Linked DNA regions of Solanum lycopersicum. The main gene of each other region encodes a partner of the protein of the gene in region 3 in a complex. Links are inferred from orthologs where the notes say so. Each region holds a gene or a part of one and is shown on either strand. Other genes may lie near its edges.

Region 1 (4,455 bases), on a different chromosome or scaffold from region 3:
AATTGATAAAGGAACAACTACCAACACATCAAAGAGCAGAGTTTGAGATATGAGAGAGCCTTTTCAGAAGGTTTAGAAAGTAACATTTTAGCATGACTTTTAAAGGTGAAAGGTGAAAGGATACCTGACCAATCAAGTCCAAATTATAGTCTGCTAGACAATGAAGAGAATGGAGACGATTCTCCTTGCAGACACAACAAGGATTCCTTATGACAGACACTAGTTCATTTAGTCCTCTTATGTACACAAAAAAGAACTTTACGACTACAAGCATGCACGCTGTAGATAAAAACTTACAGTTTGTAGCATCATTTTCATTCATTCCCAGGAAGTGAGCTGAGTCTTGTGTGCTAATGGTTGAATAAGCGGAAAGAAGGAGCTCGAACATCCTTTTTCTGTATAATTCTGCAGAAGGATGAAAATGATATGAAAATCAAATATACAGCAAAATAAGTACCCACATGTATATCTATGCGTCCTGTATAGAAAAACCACAAAGAAAACAATGGGGCACAAGAACTTCTTCAAGTTTATGTTTACATTATATGGCTCCCTTCACAGATTTGTGTAAAAGCTTTTCTTAAAAAATTGCTAGCAACTATTCGGACATTTCCCCAGCAATGTGGTCTAATATTTAAACAAATAACCAACTTAAATTAAGGATATATGTAACCACCACCCCCTACAATAATGTGCTAACAATCATTTTATTTTCTTACAAATACAGCCCCAATTAATATGGCAGAAGAAAATAATAATTTGGTGAAGTATAGTTTCACCTGACGTCACAAAAATATAATGCTGCATGAATTACAAAACACAAAAATAGTACTAAACTAATTTACTTCTAACCACAACAGAAGATCCTAGAGTCGGAACTAAGCATGCTGAAAATTCTGTTGCGCTCCTCTCCATCAGCATGGTCTGAAAACAACTTCATTTATGCTGCTTTGTCTACCACAGGTCCATAACCAATCCTCCAGACAGAACATTTCAACATAGATTGAGTAATCACTTAATCTTTTTGGTATATGTCTACATCAGTTTATCACTTAATCCTTGACCTCTCACCAAAATGTAGTAGTATAGTTTTGTTTTTTATATAGGTGGGATGAAAGCAATATGATGGAATTAGTATTACTGTGTGTCTTATTAGTAGAAAGTTACATGCCAAATTATCCTTTATATGTGGAAAGATATTTTTCCTCAATAGCTATCTTCCCAAAGTCAAGTATATAATAAATTCAATGAATCTGGAGAGTTACCCAATAATTAAAACAACCCAAGACTCCAACTAATTCACCATCAGTAAATGGTGTACAAAGAAAGAGTATACAGTCCTTGTTTTAGTAAATAAAACGCCTTGTCAAAGTTGCGCATGCGGAAAACAAAGAACCAATTAAGCTCGTCCAACTCATATAAGGAGTAATTGACAAAAAAAGAACACACAGCAAAATCAACAACGAAGAAAAATAGGATGGGGAGACATAATAGGAGCATTATCCACAATTATCTAGGTCAATAAGTACATACATATCAAGATTCAAGCATGGAGATGATACTGCAACCAACAATCCAACAATCATGACATCAACCAGGAACGAAATTGACACGTTGTGATTGGGAAAGGCATCACCATTATGATCTCCTTTCAGGGGATCACGCCAGTAAATACATCCTAAGTAAACCCATACTAAATAATTGCTTATACTGACTATTTCATACCAAACAGCCAATGGCCTTGCTAACAAAACATATCATTTTCAAATTTTTTGATGTTGTACCAAGATGTATTGACCTGTAGAGAACAATTCTACCAGCCCACTTAAGATGATTACCTGAAAGTGGGCACTAGACTTCAAGATAAGATCAGAGAACATCATTGTAGTCTCAAGCCATTATCAAACTCCAATAGCTAATCTTTGACTGCAGCCCAACTATGTGATTTGTGCAGATCCATAGATTCTACTAATTCACAACAATGGCAATTTTGTTGTTAATCCTTTACTTGATCCACATTCTATCTTAACCCAGAAGAGAGGCTAGACTCCTTTGGCAAAGTGGCACTTCTTATAAGTCACAATTCTTAGTTGTAGCAGCAAAACCTTCTATGCTTTTGACAGGCACAGAAAAGAATTTTAATTCCTTCCAAATGCCAACTATAGTATAAATTTACTAGATAGAACCTTCGAAATATAATCTCAACACTTTTATTTTTTGACAATGGTAAAAAATCTCAACACTCACTTTAACTTCTCCCTTTTTATTTCAAAACGAGAGGTGACACTCCTCTTGCACCACTATAACTTAGAGATGCTATGTCTTAGTTGTTCACATATTCAACGTTTTACCTACTCAATGGGTTCTTTCATCTTCATCATTCAGAACCCTATAATCCTATGGATTGGACAAGCAAAAACAAATCTTGGGCTGTTGCTAGGACTTATACAGTACAGTATGTAAAGCTTCTAACCAGAACTGATTAGACGACTAGAATTAAATGAAGCCAATCAAATTTTAAACAAAAAAGGATGATCAACTAAGTCTCTACCGTTTGTTCTATGGAGAATAAAGATAAACAAACTTGCCTGCAAAGGAAGCCACAAAGGGCTGAATCTCAGGACTCCAGCTGAATCCACGAATAGCCTCATGTACACCGACATAGTCCCTTGTCCAAAGTTTCTGCCCAATCCTCCAAACAGCCACCACCTCTGGTCGGGCTTCTTTTACAGCTGCAGGTATCTTCTTCCACAGAAATCGCGCACTATTACTGCAAAAGTAAAACAATAACAATGTAATTCTAAATCAATTCCCTAACATCATCCAACTTAAAACCCTAAAATTCCAAAGTAAAGTTGCAAATAAGAGATTACATGTCATTGCTGTAAATATGACCTAGAAGGTGAATCGCGTACGGCCATTCATCTTGAAATTCGATTCCCTCAGCGGCACCCTATGAATACAAATAAAGCGAATAGAAACATTAGGTTTCACTCTTAAATCGACTGAAAGAACTACACTAGAAAGACGATAAATAAAGAGAAAAAAATAGGGAGAAATTGCCTGGAGCATGAGATCATCACAAATATCAGCAATCTTGTCGTAGAAGCTGGACGCCAAGGCTTCGTTGAGTTGAGAAGTATCCATTGAAGCGCACTGTTTTTTTCGTCGTCGATTCTCCTTCTACTCCGTCACCGACTCCCCGCTGGGTGATCGGAATTACAATGTATTAAATAGTTTCGGCTTTTGGTTATTGGGCCTTTGGGCTACTTAAAGGTGATTTTCATATCCGGATACTAAATAACAAAAATACTAACATTTTTCACGACACATGTTTCTTGTTTCTTGTTTACGTGTAGAGAAAAAACATAAAGTTATTACTGAAGTTCGTTTTATATTTTTATAAAGATAATTTATCTTTGAAAGTGTTATATCACTCTATAAAAAATTTTAATATCTTTGTAAATGAATCATTTTGACTCATTTCCTTGTCTTGATTACTGCGCGTGATGCTCATTTTTTTTGATCCGTTTAGCCCAATCTAATTTTTTTATAAAGTAGAAAAATGTTTTTTTTCCTTGGTTATTAGTTAGCTTTCCAATTCTTTCAGATTTTCTTGTTTTTCTTTCAAGGAACTCGAGAACAAGAGGAAAGACAGAGCTCAGGCAGCATATGAGAGAGGAGAAAGCAGTTGGAAAAACTTAGAGTTAAGGCAAAGAAAGCTGCAGAGGAGAAGCTTGGACCTCAACTCGCCATCATTTCTCCAATCAAGTATTTTGAATTGGTACGTCATTTTTTCGAAATACAATTTTGTTGAAGATTGATAAATAATTTTAATGTCGGCCTTTTTTTAATTATATTGTCCTCCTGAGTAGTGTATTTTCAGTTAAACATTTGAGAGGACTCTCAAACTTTTATTCTTCATTGTTTTTAGTAATGAAATTGAATCTGATGCTTTTAGTGATACACCCAAAAAAACCATTTTATTGAAAATTTAAAGAGAAAGAATTCCTACATTATTGCTTTAGGAGAAGATTATGTATTTGTCAAAAAGAGTGTATCTGATCTTGCTTTAGAGAAAAAAAAATGAAATCATAAAGAGTGGCTATCAATGGCTATTTTGAGTTTAAATTTGGGAAAGATAAGGTAAACAAATTAATAATTAATAATAAAGAAATAAAGCGACATGTGTTACTTTTAAGCTGGTTAATGACAGTGAAAGCATTGTAGCACAGATTTATGTGCGTGGTCACAACCCAAACAAGGAAATGGGTCAAAATGGCTCATTTACAAAGATATTAAAAAGTTTTGTTGGGAGATAGGACACTTTCAAAGTTCAAGGGTCTTTATAAAAATACGTGACAAATTCAGTGACAACTTTATGTCTTTTCTCCATGATTGTATTATGATTTCCTACGTAGAAGGCACTATAAATTAATATATATATTAAAATGT
Region 2 (4,673 bases), on a different chromosome or scaffold from region 3:
TATTAACACGTCTAAATCCGAGTACATTTTTGAATATTAAGATATTGTCTCTAAAACTAATTGAACACATTATAATTAAGATTGTTTGTTTTCAATATCCAAATGTGCATAATTCATCTTTTTAACATAATGAATTTAAATTAAATATTATAGAAAGCTCGTTTAAGCAAAATAATTTATTTTATAGAAATAATATATCAAAGATATAAATAATATTTGATATTTCATCGAACAAATAGAAATTTGCGGGGTCTAAATTCTGCAATTGTAGCGTCGATAGGTTTTCTTATAATTTGGATATGCTATTTTTGGGTCAATCTGTTAGGAATAGGGTTACATAGTTATGGTTCTTTTCCATCAACATTTAATTGAATTCATGACAAGTTATTACAAATACAAGAGCGGGTGACGCATTGTATGAAACAGCATGCGGACCGTGTGAATCAAATATTGTATTGATGATTCACATGGTTTTCTACCATATGCAGTTCAATTTCATTGATTTTACTTAATTCTTAAGTTAAGAGAAGAAAAAAAGAAGACTTTTTTTCATTAGCACTTCTACTCAAAATATCAATCGTATCAAGGTGTTGAAATAACCAAATTCTTACTAGCAAAAAGATTATCATAACTTAAACTTGGAATGTGATATTACTTTATAAAAAGGCAATTGTGAATAAAAGTGATTACTGAGAAGGAATAAAAATTATATCATATTTGTAGTGTTATGTCTTATATACCTGAGCCAATAAGAAATAAAGAAATAAATTAATAAGCAAAATAGATGAGAAAATGGTTTTGAAGAATGTAATTCTATACGCTACTATTACTTGATACTATGGCCCCTATGTGGAACAAAAGTTCTATTCCAGTCTTGCTACGATCAAGAAATCCACATCAACCAAATAATTTGATTGATTTTGTAAGAAAATTTAGAATCAAACCAGTTCAAGAAGAACTATACCGCATAAAGTCCGAACAACTGAGGCTAAACCATGTCCTTATTAACTTCCCAGCCAACAATGAACTCATTTACGGAGAAACAAAACTTGAGAAGTTAATAACTTAATATTGATACCCTCATTTGCACTAACGCTCTATTAACAATTAGAAGAATCTTCAAGTTCTTATACATATGACCAAAAGCATATTCTATCTCAAAGAAATACCTCGAAATGATAGGGTACAAGTTCACAATATTATAAAATTTAAGGCATTTAATATGAAAGAATGGTAAATGAAGTATTGCAGATAAATTGACATAATGGCAATAAAAAGAACATTGTTGAAATCTCCAACCTGGAAAAGCGGATCCAATCAGCTACCCAGCCTACCCAACAAAAAAAATGTTTCTAAAATAATCAGATATAAAAAAAAATGTACGCTTACTTTTGTAGTCACTCCATGTTCCATGAGCAAACAAACGAAGCAAATCAAGGTATACTGAATTCTCAGTTCCTCCAAGCTGCATATAGGTCCAACAAAAAAAAACAATTAACCGCAAATATGAAAGGGATCCCAAAGTATATATACAGCAACATGGCAATATGGTGTTAACTACACAACTTGCAAAAAGTATATCAAGGTACAATTTTCAGGTGCTCCCAATAATCCTCTGCATTGAAACAAATGTTTTCTATGCCCATATTTTTCAAAAACTTACAGTTTGAGATTCAAATCTCACAATTAGATTTATGTTCCAGCAGAATCAACTATAATCTAAGTCTGTGATGCATAAATCTAACCTGAATCTTATGATTCAACAACCAACGTTGAATCACAGGTGCAATTTATAGTCAAGAAATACCACAATAAAGTGCCCACTTCAGATATGGTCTAACCTGACTGATCAAAAGCACTTCTTTTGCCCTTTATTCCCAGATGTCTACCTAATTGTCATAAAGGAACTCTAAAGAGAATCAAAACCGAGTATAAAACCCATTTCCTATGTAGCTCGGACTCTTCCAAACTGTCAATAGTGCATGTCGGATTCGCCAAAAGTAGTGTATTTTGGTGAATCCGACACGGATGCGGCATCAAAGTGAAGAGTCCGTGCAACTAAGCCCATTTCGATATGCTTAGGGTTTTGAGCTCTGAAGTTGATTGAATTGATAGGATGAACCCAAGTTATTTCCTCATTAATGATACTGTATCCCCTACGCTTCTATTACCTCTTTTAAAATCAATCAAATTGTAGTATCTTGATCCATTTTAGTTGTGTTTCCTGATATTCATTCCTTTTGTGTTTTGAAAATCATCTGGTACTTGATCATAAGATAAAATATTAACTTTTCATCTATTTATCCATGATCTAAAACATCTACATAGACTATTCAATATTTAACATACAGCCATATAAATGAGCAAGAGTTTGTAGCTCATCGGCAAAATATTGTTTTCATTAATCCATCCCAGTTTACTCAAAGCTTTCCTTTCTTAAGACATCCCCAACATTTTTCCTCGTACCACAAGACCAATTACTACGCCTAACGCAGGCACTTCCAATATGAGAGGAAAACCCACTAATCAAATTATCAGGAAATTCCATCAACAACAAAAACAACAAACCAAATGTAATCTCACAAGTGGTGTTTGATGTCCAGGTAGGGTAGAGTGTACGCGCAGACCTTATCCCTACCTTTGAGAAGGTAGAGAGGCTGTTTTCGAAAGACTCAACAAACAGATACCCAGAATGATATCATATTCCAGATATTGCCCAATCAATAGCATAAGTACATAACCACGACACAATGTTCAGGGTAAATACCTAGAAACCCAGTATAGGAAAAAACACACAAAATTACAAAAAAACAAATTAACGCAACACCTACTAACCCAATTATCATAAAAAAAAAAAAAAAACTTCAAACAAAATCAGAACAAGTGTAGAAATAGTAATATGAATGAATGGAAACCTCGAGAACACTGGGAACAGAAAGAATCTCTGAAAAAGCAAAGAGTGATGGATGCGAAGTGGCTTCAACAATAACAGTGGTAAGGGCAGAACCCTTGAGTGCTGATGCTTGTTTCACAAAGAAGTCGATGTGCTCCGCTTGCTTTTGTTCGATATCCATCTCTCTATGAATAATTAATAATCACAAGTAATCAGGGGTTCAATAACATTTATAGACAAAAGCAAAGAAAATTATTAGGGTTTCTGATTTCCGATTCAAAGATTTATCACAAAAACAAATAGAGAAGAGGGCTTTTTTAACTGTAAAATTTTGGAGTCCCACGGAGAAGAAGGGCGCTTGTCTGATTTGGTATGATGCTTTGAGCCCATCGCGGGTCCTTTTATACTTTTGATTTACTTTTAAGCTTCTTTCAATATTTTACAATAATAATTACTCCCTCCGTTTAAAAAAATAATAATAATTTAAAATAAAATTTCAAAAAAGGAATAATATATTTTAATTTTATGTAACTAAATTAAAGTTATGTCAAGTATATCAAAATACTTTTTAATTTTATATTCTTAAACATGTCATATCGTTAAAATGTTGCCAGAAAAGGAAAAATATCATTCTTTTTAAAATATACAAAAAAGAAAATAAGATCATTATAAGAAATATATACTAATTATTTTATATGTATATTAAATTTTAATAAATTTCAATAATAATATATTCAATATGATAACGTAGAGTGAATGTCATGTTAATCAAATCATGTATACTGAAGAAAGATTTTTGACATTGACATACTATTAATCTTAATGGCTTTGTCGTATGCTTTAGGTTGATTTCATGTCAATGTATTTAAATTTGAATATACCATTATTATATGATAACTTATCAATAAAATAGTATTTTGTATTTATACAATTAGATAGAGAGTTACTTAACAAGTAAGGGGTTGCATTTTACGAAAAATTCATCAAAGAGCTCTTAGCAAATGTGAGACAATCACTTCTTTCAATCTTTCTCGATCATAGATATTATTGTTTTTCACTTGACACCTTGATAATAATGAATAACTTGTATCATCTTTCCTCAAACTTTTATGATTTAATTTTATGTTTTTAATCATGTATGTTATGTCATTTTCAATCGTGGCATATTTCGGATGCTTGAAGGTCCCGCTGACACGAAGTGATTTAGAAATATTCTTCTTTTGTCGATGGTGATCGGTCATGGTATACACAACCTTGCTTTTTTTTCGTTCAAATCCTGATTTCGTTTTGCTTCTCCCGATCGTCGAGCCTGATCGATTTGACTCTTTTCCATGCCCCCGACCTCTCACTCTATTTCGTTCTACTTCTGTACCATTGCTTGAATAAAGACACCCGGCCGACCCGACTTTCCCAAATCCCCCCCCCCCGACCCTTCTCCTTTACGGGGTCTAGATTTTTCGCGTCGTTTCAATCGTCGTGGTCGACGGAGAAGAAAGAAATGAATGAATATTCTTTTGGGTTATATATATATTTTGAAAATAGTTGCAAGACAAAAACTGAAACCTTTCTTTTATTGTTGTTCCTCCCAGATACATGGCTTACATATGTGGCTCAACATTCTTGGAAAACAACCGAATCGAGGGTTCGGGAGCCTATAAAACGTTTGTTATGATATAAGGATCGTGCGCCTACCCGAATTGACTTCGCTATTGCTTCCGTGTAGGGGTCGATCCCAAAATAGGGATTTTTTTATGTGAAAGGAATTTTGAAGCGAGTATTA
Region 3 (5,431 bases):
ACAAGCGACTCTCTGAGCTTATTATGTCAGTAAGTGTCCTAAATGGTAATAAGCAAAAAATATCGCTAAAATCAGTAATTATTTTTTATAATGTATTAATCCAAGAACAGTAAGTTAATGCTGTGAAATTGTGTTTGACTTGTTAGATTGTAATTTGATTTTGAATAACTTTTAGGTAATTGTATAACATAACAAATTAATAATATAAAATAAACGGAAAAGGACCTAAAATACCCTTAAAGTATTGAAAATGGTACAAAATTACCCTCCATCCACCTATTGGCTCCAAAATACCCTTCCCACCCACCTATTGGGTCCAAAATACCCTTGTCATCCACCTTTTGGTTCAAAATTGACCACTTATTTAACGGTTTTATATTAAACTATTTAAATATTTTTTAAAATACGTGAAACTCAATTTTTTGTTATAATTTAACTTATTAGTATAATTTATAAATCAATCCACTACCCATCCCATTACTAATCAAATCCCTCTAAATTAATGAATCCGTCACATTATTAATGCAAGCTACTGCCAATTGAGTGTTTTTAAAAATTATAGAGGTAAATTATCATACATTCAAGTGGCTAAATAAAAATCACCGATAAACTTAAAAGTCTGACTATGTTCATTTTAATTATTCTTATGTCTCAATTATGTGATGTTACTTCATAGGTAACTTTCTTTCAAAATAATATATTAAAGGTTTTAAAACAAATCATAAATATTTATAAAATTATATTTTAAAAAAGAGCATGAATTAGTTCGGGATGTATTACTTCTTTACCTTTAATCATGAATTTCTAATTCAATTTTGAAAGAAAGTGTCCTTCTAAATAAGCGGCTCAACCTAAATTTAATTGGGACTTCGATTCGGACTCGAATAATTTTGAATGTCATTTTCAGGAATCTATAATTTCATCGTGTTTTACTAGTGTTTATGATGATTTTGATATTATAATTGGATTATTAATTGGGTGAGGTTTAATTAGTAATGAGTGAGTAGTGGGTTGGTTAATAAATTATATTAAAAAATTATAATTATAATCAATAGTTGAACGCCAAGTATTTTTAAAAATATTTAAAGAGTTAAATTTTAAAACAATTAAAAAAAGTGGTCAATTTTGAACCCAAAGATGATGACAAGGGTATTTTGGAGCCAATAGCTGGATGAAAAGGGCATTTTGGAGCCAATAGGTGGATGAAGGGTAATTTTGTACCATTTTGAATACTTTAAGGGTATTTTAGGCCCTTGTCCGTAAAATAAATATAATAGCTATTGTTTGATTTATTTGTGTTTCATAGCAAACTGTTTGTCAGTCTCATTCTCCCTCATATTTTCGCTCGTCACTCTCTCTCTCTCTCTCCCTATCGCTTGCCTCTCTCGCTTTATACAATAGAATTGTATAAGTTGTGTTTCTAATCATATAAATCGAGAGAAAATTGTATATACACATGTAAATACATATATTTTTGTCATATACACTTATAATTATACAATAAAAGTACTCTTCCGCCCAAGTCTCTTTTGTCTCTCTCCTTCTCGTTTTATACAATTTGATTCAATTGTATATTCCCTGCCCAAGTCTCTTTTGTCATTCTCTCTTTCTCATTTTATACAAATTCAAATTGTATATAATCGTCTTATACACTTATAATTATATAATTCATTTTATACATTTCATTTTATACAATTTTATGCCCAAGTCTCTTTTTCTTTCTCATTTTATACACTTCGTTTTATACAATTCGCTTCAATTGTATATGTATAGCAAATTATACATATATATGTTTGCTATTAAATATATTTGTTACAAAGCGCAATTATATGAACTTTGTTATAACATACAAATATAAATTTTATATATGCTACATGTGAAAATTATCCTACATAAATTTGAACCGAAATAATAATTTTATCACTTTTTCTTTTTAAAAAAATAAAATTAGTTCGAAGTTGTGTCCGAGCCCATATACCACAGCGGGCAACAGATTATAAATCGACTTTCAAATCCCTATTTATATGCCAAAATTTTGGTTCATAAGCTCCATTAACGCTTCGAAAAAGAACTCGACGAGACACTCCAAATTGCGTATTCGAGAAGATTAGCTCAGAGATAAACCCTAAATCGCAATGGAGAGTGCGTTCGCTAGTGCCTCTGCGATCAGCGACCAACGCCAGAAAATCGAACAGTACAAGCACATTCTGTCCACCGTTCTTGCATCAAGCGATATCCAACAAGCCAAGCAATTCATCGATCACAGTAAGTTTTTCTCGTTGTTTCATCATAATTTCGCTGTTAATTTTTTGTTCATGTTCTATAATTCTCAGCTGAAATAGATGTTCGAAGATTCATATAGTCAGATTGTAACCGGTTTGAGATTGAGAGGTTGTTTGATTGAGATTGTGTACAATTATGTCGCGCCAGTTATAATCTCATCACAGTTTTGCTGTTAATTTATGTTCATGTTTTATATTTCTCAGTTGAAACAGATGTTAGAATATTTATATAGTCATATTCTATCTGGTTTGGGATTGAGCCATTGGTTGGTTGAGAATGTGTTTGGTTATGCAGTGCAGTTACTGCCTCATTATAATTTTGCTGTTAATTTATCTTCATGTTGTATATTTCTCAGCTGGAATAGATATAGAAGATATATATAGTTAGATTCTAACTGGTTTGAGATTGAGCCGTTATTTTGATTTAAGTTTATTTACGACTATGCAGTTCAGTTACTATCTCATCATAATTTTGCTATTTATTTTGCATTCATGTTTTATGTCTCTCAGCTGAAATAGATATAGAAGATTTATATATTCTCATATTCTTACTAGTTTGGGATTGAGCCGCTGTTTGATTGAGATTGTGTGTGATTTATGCATTGCAGCAACTATTTCATCTCAATTTTCTGTTAATTTTATGTTTATGTTGTAGATTTCTCGGTTGAAATAGATATAGATGATTTATATAGTCAGATACTAACTGGTTTGAGATTGAGCCGCTGTTTGATTAAGACTGTACGATTATGCAGTGTAGTTACTATCTAATCATAATTTTGCAACTTGTTTTATTTTTCATGTTGTATACGTCTAGCTGAAATAATATGTATAGACAATTTATGCAGTCAGATTCCAGTTGGTTTGCGATTGAGCCACTGTTTGATTGAGATTGTGTATGACTATGCAGTGCAATCACCATCCAGCTGTCTAATCTTAATTTTTCCTGTAATTTTTATATTCACGTTGTATATTCTCAGCTGAAATCTAAATAGAATATTTATAGTCAGATTCTAACTAATTTGGGGTTGAGCCGCTGTTGTTTGATTGAGTGTGTACATTATGCAGTGCTATCGGATGACGTGCCCTTGGTGGTATCTAGACAGCTATTGCAGACATTTGCCCAGGAATTCGATAGATTGGAACCTGATGTTCAAAAGGAAGTAGCACACTATACTCTCAACCAGATACAGCCTCGTGTGGTGTCCTTTGAAGAACAAGTATGCTTTGATATTTCTATTTTGTTAATTGTCAGATTCTTGACAACTCCTTTGCAGCCCATAGTGAACGATACTTGGACTTACATTAATGCCTTATATATCTCTAAAATTTGGTGCTTCAGAATGTCACTAGCATCAGTTTGTCTTTATTTTGCTTTGTCTGTTGCATCAGGTGGTGCATATGTATTTGTAAGGGTGTAGCATTTGGATGTTTGTAATTTCATTTCTTAAAACTTCATAAGAGAACAGCAAGAATGCTCTATCAAGAAAAAATACAGAGAGGAACATGGTATGAAGAAAGAGAATTATTGAATCAGCATGACAATATCTCTGCCACCTAAAGAGAAGGCCTGTTTTAACGATTGAAATCACGTTCTTTTACTAATTATGGGATGGGAAGTACTTATCAGAAAAAAGGATGGCAAATTTCCAAATAATTGTCTTTCAGAAAGTAATCTCTTTCTAATTGACCATTAAAGTTAGCATCTCTATTTTTATTAAAACCAGTTAAAATAATAGGCTAGAAAAGAATTTGAGTGTAGTACCAGGAACTCAATACACGGGCCACAACCCACATTGGGACCATGGGGTTGTTTATTATGAAGTGTGTTTTTTGAGTTGGTGTTGGATGGAACTATTGCATTGACACCTTTGATTCCTTTTCGATGGAAGTGATTTTAAGAACTGAATTTTGTGAGAGTGGGCTAGCGCCAAAGTCACAGAATTATTTGTTTATCTTGGGATTAAAAAGTTTTTCCGGAAATCATAGTTATCTTAAAATTTGATGTGTGTCTTGAGTATTTTAGTTTTGAGAAAATGGTACAAATGAAGGTCAAAATTGGAACTCAGCATATTGTCTGTTGTCATCAAGAGATCTCCACATACAGGTTCTTTTGATCTTTTATGTTTTTACTGCCCATTTCTAAAACAAAATCCCATATTTTCAGGTGTTGATCATTCGGGAAAAACTTGCAGAATTATATGAGTCTGAGCAACAATGGTCAAAAGCAGCTCAGATGCTTAGTGGCATCGATTTAGACTCTGCAATGAGGTCTGTGTTACACTTCTACTTATCTTTGCTTGCCTGCTGCTGTGTCCCTTAACTTATCTTTGGAAGCTGAAATTTCTATCTTCGCACTGCTTCTTCTGCAGATTCGTTGATGATACATTCAGAATTTCAAAATGTGTCCAAATTGCTCGTCTCTATCTGGAGGTTGGATTTTTCTTTTTCTTTTCTTTCTATACTTCTAATGCCAAGTAAACATATCCAAGTTAACGATCCTTGTTTGGTTTGGTAGTGCACCTTTCAACTTGCCTGACAATTGATCTGCTCTAAAGAGGAAGAGGCGAAATCAATTCATCAATATATGTGCTGGAGCGACCTATCAATTTTTTTAGTTTGGTTAACTAATTGTTGATATTTATAAGAAAACAATTAATAACTTGCTAGTTTGAGCTATAGGGCGTTGTTGTAGTGCAAGCGTATTGATTACGGGAATATTATACAAAAGGCTTTCTTAAAAATTCTCATAGAATCTAGAATGAAGTTTTGATTCTATACATGCCATATCATGAATTAGTAGCTGCTTCCAATTAAAAGAAATTCTAATTGTGTTGAACTTTCCATTTTTGTAGTAGTTATGGAATCTTCATGAGTAAACTATAGTCCACACAACCATATCTCCCAATTGAAAAAGATAATTACTACATGAGACAACACATTAGATAAAGGAAAAATCTTTCGTTCTTTCTTTTTTATTTCTATATTATATAGGTATGTACAACTTTATCATCAATTTTCTTTACCGATCAAAAGTAGTTTCTAGTATGTTTGCCCAAACTGCTTCAAACACCTAAGGAACCACCAAAAGTTTTTTCTACAAAAAAGAGTTTTTTCTTAGCTGCACCTAAGGGTGTAGCCTAGTGGTCAAT

The links. Proteins that work in one complex are often made in the same cells at the same time.
Region 1: CSN4 (region 3) and COP9 signalosome complex subunit 8 share a complex: the UniProt entries of both Arabidopsis thaliana proteins name them as parts of the CSN complex. The link is inferred for Solanum lycopersicum from reciprocal best matches to the Arabidopsis thaliana genes COP8 and COP9.
Region 2: the proteins of CSN4 (region 3) and COP9 signalosome complex subunit 7 are in contact, whole or in part, in a cryo-EM structure (PDB 9IS6), measured with the Arabidopsis thaliana proteins. The link is inferred for Solanum lycopersicum from reciprocal best matches to the Arabidopsis thaliana genes COP8 and FUS5. Residues at the interface, in NP_199111.1 of Arabidopsis thaliana: Glu269, Arg270, Ile271, Arg273, Ser310, Lys313, Leu314, Tyr315, Thr316, Asn317, Ile318, Arg319, Glu322, Thr325, Leu326, Val357, His359, Gln373, Asp383; in NP_563645.1 of Arabidopsis thaliana: Met1, Lys108, Val124, Arg125, Glu128, Asp129, Ile132, Asn133, Met136, Tyr137, Lys144, Leu145, Asp146, Gln147, Leu148, Pro155.

Annotation. Positions count from the first base shown.
Region 1 is NC_090800.1:89,068,627-89,073,081, reverse strand, and holds the start of COP9 signalosome complex subunit 8, read right to left. Parts: upstream 3,287-4,455; 5' UTR 3,148-3,286; coding exon 3,064-3,147; intron 2,954-3,063; coding exon 2,874-2,953; intron 2,771-2,873; coding exon 2,589-2,770; intron 406-2,588; coding exon 298-405; intron 1-297. UniProt on the Arabidopsis thaliana protein: Component of the COP9 signalosome complex (CSN), a complex involved in various cellular and developmental processes such as photomorphogenesis and auxin and jasmonate responses.
Region 2 is NC_090800.1:79,720,518-79,725,190, reverse strand, and holds the start of COP9 signalosome complex subunit 7, read right to left. Parts: upstream 3,287-4,673; 5' UTR 3,075-3,286; coding exon 2,916-3,074; intron 1,466-2,915; coding exon 1,390-1,465; intron 1-1,389. UniProt on the Arabidopsis thaliana protein: Component of the COP9 signalosome complex (CSN), a complex involved in various cellular and developmental processes such as photomorphogenesis and auxin and jasmonate responses.
Region 3 is NC_090803.1:66,278,859-66,284,289, forward strand, and holds the start of CSN4 (COP9 signalosome complex subunit 4), read left to right. Parts: upstream 1-2,026; 5' UTR 2,027-2,135; coding exon 2,136-2,265; intron 2,266-3,347; coding exon 3,348-3,499; intron 3,500-4,446; coding exon 4,447-4,550; intron 4,551-4,651; coding exon 4,652-4,712; intron 4,713-5,431. UniProt on the Arabidopsis thaliana protein: Component of the COP9 signalosome complex (CSN), a complex involved in various cellular and developmental processes such as photomorphogenesis and auxin and jasmonate responses.